2 linked regions of the Nothobranchius furzeri genome follow. The protein of the gene in region 1 interacts with the protein of each later gene in a biochemical or structural test. Links are inferred from orthologs where the notes say so. Each region holds a gene or a part of one and is shown on either strand. Other genes may lie near its edges.

Region 1 (3,159 bases):
CCAACATTGAGTCTTCATAGGAGTTACTTTCCCACCAATAGAGGGCGATGTTTGCAAGCCATCATATGATTTTAATGTTTTTTTCTTTTCCCCAGGGTGATATGTCAGCTGCTTAGCACCGTCCATGAGCACATCCACTGCCTCTACAAACTCTCGGATGCCGTATCCATGCTGGACATGTTGATCTCACTGGCTAATGCGTGCACAATCTCAGACTATGGTAACTACTCCCCCACAAAAAGCAGCCACCATCATGCAGGATGACCCGTTACGTCTCTCCTGAGCTTGCACCTCTGCAGGACTCAGTTCTTTTTTTCCTGCACCATCAGGCATGTGGGTGGAGAGTGTTGGCCCTCAGCTGTCTGAAACCGTCTCTTCATAGACGCACGCGGACTGCCTGCCTCGTTCTGTCCCCGGCAGCATGTACTCAGATTACCCTTCTTACATAAGCGGACGCTGATGTTCTGTATTTGCAGAGACAAGTTCGGCAGCTGACCCAACACCTGTAACCGCTGCTGCACACACCTCGCTCAGAAATGATTGGTTCGCTTTACTGTGATTCGTTTTGAACGCAGTCAGCGATAAGCTGATTACCATGTGACTTTGCTCTTTTAAATTTAGATTTTACCTACAAACACCAACTTTTACATATTTTTAAATTGATTTTCCCTAAATTAGTCGCTCACCAAATACCTGTGTGTGTGTGTGTGTGTGTGTGTGTGTGTGTGTGTGTGTGTGTGTGTGTGTGTGTGTGTGTGTGTCTGACAGTTCGTCCTGAGTTTACAGACACTCTGGCCATCAAGCAAAGTCGTCACCCCATTCTGGAGCGGCTAGCTCGACAGCAGCCGGTGTCAAACAACACCTACATCACCGAGGGCAGCAACTTTGTCATCATAACAGGACCCAACATGAGCGGCAAGTCCACCTACCTGAAGCAGGTGGCGCTGTGTCAGATCATGGCTCAGATCGGTTAGCGGTAGATCTTCAAACCTTGTTAGAAACGATAGATGTGACTTAACGTTATGTCTTAACCACGGGTAGTTATGATTTTTTCAGGCTCTTTCGTCCCGGCTGAATATGCCTCCTTTCGCATTGCCGATCAGATTTTCACCAGAATTGGTGTAGACGATGATTTTGAGACCAACTCTTCCACTTTCATGCTGGAAATGAAGGAGGTGAGCCACTTTGTGCACACAAGGACTGCTCACGTCCAACCAGTCATTAATATGATTGTTTTGCTTAAGATCTCTTACATAATCCACAACGGGAGCGACCGGTCCTTGATCATCATAGATGAGTTGGGCCGTGGCACTAGTGCTGAAGAAGGGATTGGCATCTGCCACTCAGTGTGTGAGTTCCTCCTCCGCCTAAAGGTGAAGTATGCACCAGCACAGCTTAGCTCAGCTACTTCTGTCTCTGAAATTAAAACCAGATCATTCAGATTCCTACGACAAGTCAATTCAGTCTTTTGTCTTTTGCTGCGATCAACTTCTTAGGTCAACAAAGAAGCAGAACAAACAGAGAAATCCTGCATGTTTGCTATTCTAATCTTCAAGGTGTGTCCCGTTTGCTGCTTGCAGGCGTTCACGCTGTTTGCCACACACTTCCTTGAGCTGTGTCAGCTGGAGTCTCTCTATCCTAACGTAGAGAACCAGCACATGGAGGTCCAGCACACACGCAGCGGTGACTCTGGTGCAGAGCATGTGGTGTACACATATCTGCTGAGCCGTGGCTCCTCTGAAGAGAGGCATTATGGTACAGTCAGAGTCCAAGAGCTGTCCTGTTGAAATGCAAAAGGATAACAGAGATTCCCGTTTCCTCCTGTAGGTCTGAGAGCAGCAGAAATGACTGCACTGCCTTCAGATGTGATCCAAGAAGCTAAGACGATTGCCTCTCAAGTCAGCCGGCAGCTTCTGGTGTGGTTCAAAGATCAGATTTTGACATTTTGTCCAACTGCCTTTTCTGCTTTTCTTGACATTTTCTGATGTTTTTTTTTAGCAAGTCCTCCTCATAATATGCAACAGAAGGAGCTAACGCTAAACCCCAAAACATGGTTTAATTGCTGCTATGAAGAAAATTAATTGTGTGAGTAATTAACAACTGCGTGTGTTCTATTGCTCCAGGCGAGACATCAAACTGATCCAGAAACTCAGAGACAGAGAGCGGTTTACCGTCTGGCCACTCGCCTCCTGCAGACCGCCAGAAACTCAAGACTAGACCCTGAAAGCTTGAGGATGTATCTGAAGGGACTGAAGAGGCAGTATGAGGCCGAGCTGCAGGCCGTCGGAGAACTTTAACTCAGAGGATGAATAATTGATTTTCTCCTCACGATGGAAGATGAACTGGAATAAAACGACATTGTTCGTCCATTTTTACAGGGCATTTTGAGTGTATTTGAACATTAAAGGCCAGCGATAATATTTTCTGTTAAATTGTTCTGTTTGACAGTATGATACAACACAATGTCTGTAAGGATTTGTTTTAACAGATTTGTAAAAATTTAAATAAAAAATTGAATATAAAAATAAAAGCTATGCCAGAATAATTTACAGTTTCACAGACATAATTACAGTGATTGATTGGCTGAAGTATTAACAATAAAATATGTGTAAATATTTGTATTATTTTATTTTTGTGACTAATTTTTAAAAACAGCAGCCACCTCTTTTAGAGCATTTGGTTGACACCTCATGGCCGGTACGCCTGGTGTACCGCGGTTATCAAAACGAGCGCTCCCTAAGCTGACTAGTTATGACCCGCCCCCGCGAACCAGAAACAGCGGAGCGTGTGACGGAAGAGAAAGCCAGGCTGGAGCTGCCCTGGGAAGTCGGGAGTCTGTCTGCCAGAGTCACCGCAGAACAACGCCATTTCACCTGCAGCTAGAGGAACAGACGACAGGAGCCACAGGTATTTATCGGACAGCTGTTTCCGCTGATGCTAATGTTGGATTCCTGCCAGGAGAGCCAGCGGCTCTCGCGGAGGCCTGGGAATGGCCCACCGCGGAGGAATGGAGCGATAGTCCGGGTCAGAGATGTCAACCGAGGAGGGCTGAGCCACACTAGCACTAGCGCTAGCTAAAGAGGCCCGTTGGGGTGGGTTTCCACGCCTTCCGAGAGCCAAACTATTTCACTTTTTAACTTCCCTGGTCAGTTTGGTGAT
Region 2 (4,378 bases), about 470 kb from region 1:
TCAGTCCCTGCGCTAATCACTCTTTCTGGCCTGGATTTAGGCAGGAAAGGCAAAACTGAATCCACCTGAAATGGGTAACACCTGTACTCCACCCCTAGAAGAAAGTTCACACAAGTAATGACACTTTCTGCAAACAAACGGAGCAGTTTTAAGGATTTATATGCAAGTGCATTCGCCACCTCACCCATCTCAGAGATGACGCTGACCGCCATGTTGGTGACGTCAGATGTGCAGCGTACTTGAGTTTCCTGCACAGCCGGGTCTTCATATCTGCTGAGGCCGGTCATCCTGTTGACATAAACAATCTTTCCAATAGATGCGTCGTAGTGATGAAGCCAGTGATCTTCCTCCTTTTGGTTCATTTGAGGATTATTACAACTGTCCAACCCTGGGTCAACTTGATCTTCAGGGTCCTGGGAACACTGATTATCATGTCTCTGCTCAAGTTCATCATTATAAACGTGCCGGGAGACATTTTCTGTCTTTTGTTGCTTCAAATTGCAAAGTTTAGCCGTTAATGACATTTGACCTTTTCTCTGATCTTTGACGTCTGAGAGGGTCAGCGGTCTTTGGGAGCTGTTCGGTGTCCTCTCTTCCTCCCTTGTTCCCGTGGCTCGATTGTCCTCACAAACAGATATAGTCTCTGGATTGTTAGCGAAGCTGTTAATGGGAGGACGTTCACCATAATTCTGTAAACGAGGATGAAGTAACTTCAGTTCAGAATGTTTAACAAACGTTCGTCTGAACTTGTCGAGCGATCCAAGCTCCCGAGATGTTGACAGTTTCTGGCAAGAGAGGATTCTGGGAATCTTAAAGGGAACGTATAGTTTCTGAGAAGCTCCGTTGTTATCCGCTTCCAGAGTGTTTTTGCGTTTTGAGGTTCGTTCGTTGTAATTAGTTTGGAAGTGGTCCCGGATCTGCAGACTTTTGTGAATGTATGGATCAGACAAACCGATCTTCCTGTCACTTACAAAACTTTGTTCATGTCCATCTGGAGATTGCATCTTTTCCTTACTGCAGTCTAAATCAGACTGAACAGCACGTACGAAGCTGCGTCTTGAATTTGTCTCGCAGGTTGCGGTTTTATCAATCAACTGTGTCTCTTTTTCCTGCAAGAGCGCACATTCTTGACTATCTGGCGTTTGTGCAGTTCCAGAGCCTTCACCAGACTGACTGAAAGTTAGCTCCTCTTCATCGTGTGCATTTGGAGATGCAGACTTTAGATCACACTGCAGAGTCCTCTGAGATTCGTGAACAGATGTTCCTTCCTGCTCAAGTTGATCCGCCTCATCGGCTCTGCGCTCCATCAGACCAGACTCACGGCAAACACCGTCGTCTGTACTTTTGCGATGAACAGATACCGACGCCAGCTTCATTTCTATGCCACAGTCAGTGCTGGAAGTACCAGGAGCCGCTTGGCCAGCTTTGATACTTTGATTTTCCGTTTTGTCAGGAACACAGACTTCTGAAGACACACAGTCCAAGTCATCCTGAGAAGACACCAAGTTCTCCCGCTTCAGAAAAGCTTTGACTGCTTCTTCGACACAAAGCAAAACACCATCCCAGTCTTTGAACTCTATCAGAGTTTTGGCAGGCTCAAGACAAATGTCATAATCCGAGTAGGAACATTTGATATTAATGATGTATACTCCGTTTTGCTCATGGTTTCGTTTATGCTTTGGACTCCGAAGGACAGAAGTTCCATCAGGAGCTTCATTCTTCTGGTTTGAGCTGCTCAATCTGCGTAGGAGGAAGTTAAGCAGCTTGTGGATGTGGGTTTTCAACAGCAGCCTGTCATTCACGTACAAGTACTGTAAACTGTTATTGTAGTGGCCTTCTTTGCCAATATAACCACCCACTTCAAACTGCTTGTGTGTGTAGCTGACTTCTGCCAGTTTCTCTGCCCGTGCAAGGCTGTGTATCTGAACAAACCTGTGGTAGGTGTTTCTGGCTTTGGGAAGCTGCACCATCATGGTGCCCGTGCAGTCATTCTTCAGGGTAAAGGACACAGAAGGATGCATTAAAGAAATGGCTTCGACCCTGTGTCTGATCCGCTCACCCTCCAGGACACCATCAACCCTCTTCCTCCGGACTGGCATGTTGTAAAAGAAGTTACAAATGACAACAGTTGTCCCCGCGGATGGTCGAACAGTCTCAGCTTCAAAGACATCCAAGCCCTTGCCATCCTTGAATAGTTTGACGTGTGTTTTTACCGACAGCCTGGTCCTGGATGAGATTTCAACAAGTGTGGCTAAAGATACTAAACTTGCCAAGGCTTCTCCTCGGAAACCATACCATCTCAGGTTGTCCAGGTCTTCAACAGAGCTGCACTTGCTTGTGCAGTATCGATTCCCAATACACTCCAGGTCCTCGGCAGTTATCCCAGAGCCGTTGTCGATCACCTGAACTTTAAATGCTTCCATGTCCATCCGGACGCCCACACAGGTCGCACCGGCATCGATGCTGTTCAGGATGAGCTCCTCCACGCACTGCTGCAGCGACGGAATGGCGACACCGGAACGAAGTTTCTCTCTAAGCTCTTTGGGCAAACTCTTGATCATGCTGCCCTCGCTTGTTTTTACATTTGGTCACATTTTCTGTAGTAAATAGAAAACGCTTTTAAAAAGTCATCGTTGCTACCTGCGACATGCAAGATAACGTGTTCTGTCAAATGAAACGAAAGTCCGAATTAACCGAAACACGTTAAAATAGTTTGTTAGACAACATTAAATCAGCTGTTTACAGGAAACGAGTTGCAAAAAAGAAGTGACCGTTTTCACTTTTAGCTATTGGCAAAAGGTAACACTGCCCCGTGCTGGTGAGTAACAGATTAGCGCAATTCTTTTAATTGACCAATCACACAAGCGATCCAAACTCACGCAACCAAACCGTGCTCTGACGTAATGGTCTGCTGCGTTCAAGTGATATGGAAATCTCGGCACTTCTTGGTTTTGAACCTTGAGATGTCAGATTTTTGTATGTTGGATGGAATGTTTAAACACATATTTTTCTGAAAATAAAATAACCGTATGTTATAAGCGTTATCTAGTTTTAATTTAGTTAACAATACAAAATTCCTACTTGAAACTGAAGTAAGCCTGCTAATGCCATCAAGTTTGTTCAATTTAATACAAGCATCTACAACTTTTACCTTCTGGAAAACTGCATAGCTGTACAGATGAAGATCCTTCACGGGTTAGGAGACACATTACAAATGCTAAATATCTGTTTAAGTAAGTTGTTCCCACTGAATGCCTTGCTTTGCTTCAACCAAGTATGGAAACTCAACAGACCTTTTAAAAATACTTGTCACTGAAACATGCAATGGTGTCACTAATAATTAATTTCAACTGTATGACTGACAATAAGAAATGGCAACATCATATTGAGTCTGCATGAAAATTCAACAGCTAAATTGAAATAATTTATAAATGTTTTATGAAAACTTGAGCTATCTGCTATGAGATGAATATTTAGTAATTGCCCCCCCCCCCCCCCCCCCCCCCCACACACACACACACACACAGGGCAAATAAATCAAATTCAAACACTATGAAATGTTTTGGAGAACTTACATTTATTAGGACAATCATGAGTGTACACAGTGAACAAATCACTAATATTTTTTAATACAGATTGTTAAAACTAAATAAATAAAAATAAAAGCTTACATTTTAATATTACAAGTACAGACAATAGCTTAATTTATTTTACAACATTAAAGGATGAGTGTTCCAGCCTGTCAACTACTTTCTCATTCTTGAACTCGGCCTTGGTGATGTGTGATTTGGGGCTCCCAGTTGATGTTAGCCATTCTTGCATTTGTTTGACTTTACTGCGTTGTCCTTGTAGCTGACCCTGAACGGTTCCTGCTGGTGTGTTTTGGACCCAACCAACCAGGCCAATTTTCTTCCCCTCAGCCTGGAAAAAAATATTTATATAGGAAGATACAAAAGATGTAGGAAAGATGTGAGCAAAGCAATACAAAGAATCTGGCATATTTATAGAACTCGTGGCACTTTTGAATATTGAATAAATAAATTATACTACTGGCAAATTAAATGATAAAAGGAATCAAACAAATCTACAAAAATCTAAATTGTTTTTTATTCATTCAGGCATTAAATTATTTATCAATTTGTATTTGAGGCTCATAAAAAATAAGATCATTGTAAAAAAAATTATAATAAATAAAGGCAAATTAGTTTTATTTTAACACCCTATCAAAATAAAAGCGTTTTGCAATGTCAAACTCACTTGAGTGTATTTCCGAAAAAATACACCTTGGACTCTTCCAAAAATTTCATAATCCACAGAAATTAGCTCTTCACTGGACATAACGAACCTATAAAAGGGAGAAAATTAGTTTTGAGTGATG

Evidence for each region.
Region 2: the proteins of msh4 (region 1) and mlh3 form a complex in vitro, tested with the Homo sapiens proteins (2 studies listed by BioGRID). The link is inferred for Nothobranchius furzeri from reciprocal best matches to the Homo sapiens genes MSH4 and MLH3.

Annotation. Positions count from the first base shown.
Region 1 is NC_091758.1:32,021,822-32,024,980, forward strand, and holds the end of msh4 (mutS protein homolog 4), read left to right. Parts: intron 1-95; coding exon 96-220; intron 221-768; coding exon 769-969; exon of another isoform or gene 970-990; intron 991-1,056; coding exon 1,057-1,175; intron 1,176-1,244; coding exon 1,245-1,373; intron 1,374-1,580; coding exon 1,581-1,755; intron 1,756-1,827; coding exon 1,828-1,916; intron 1,917-2,123; coding exon 2,124-2,297; 3' UTR 2,298-2,530; downstream 2,531-3,159. UniProt on the Homo sapiens protein: Involved in meiotic recombination. Required for reciprocal recombination and proper segregation of homologous chromosomes at meiosis.
Region 2 is NC_091758.1:32,493,615-32,497,992, reverse strand, and holds the start of mlh3 (DNA mismatch repair protein Mlh3), read right to left. Parts: upstream 2,828-4,378; 5' UTR 2,562-2,827; coding exon 185-2,561; intron 95-184; coding exon 1-94. Other genes in the region: acyp1 (acylphosphatase-1), read right to left, coding at 3,706-3,921, 4,258-4,345. UniProt on the Homo sapiens protein: Probably involved in the repair of mismatches in DNA.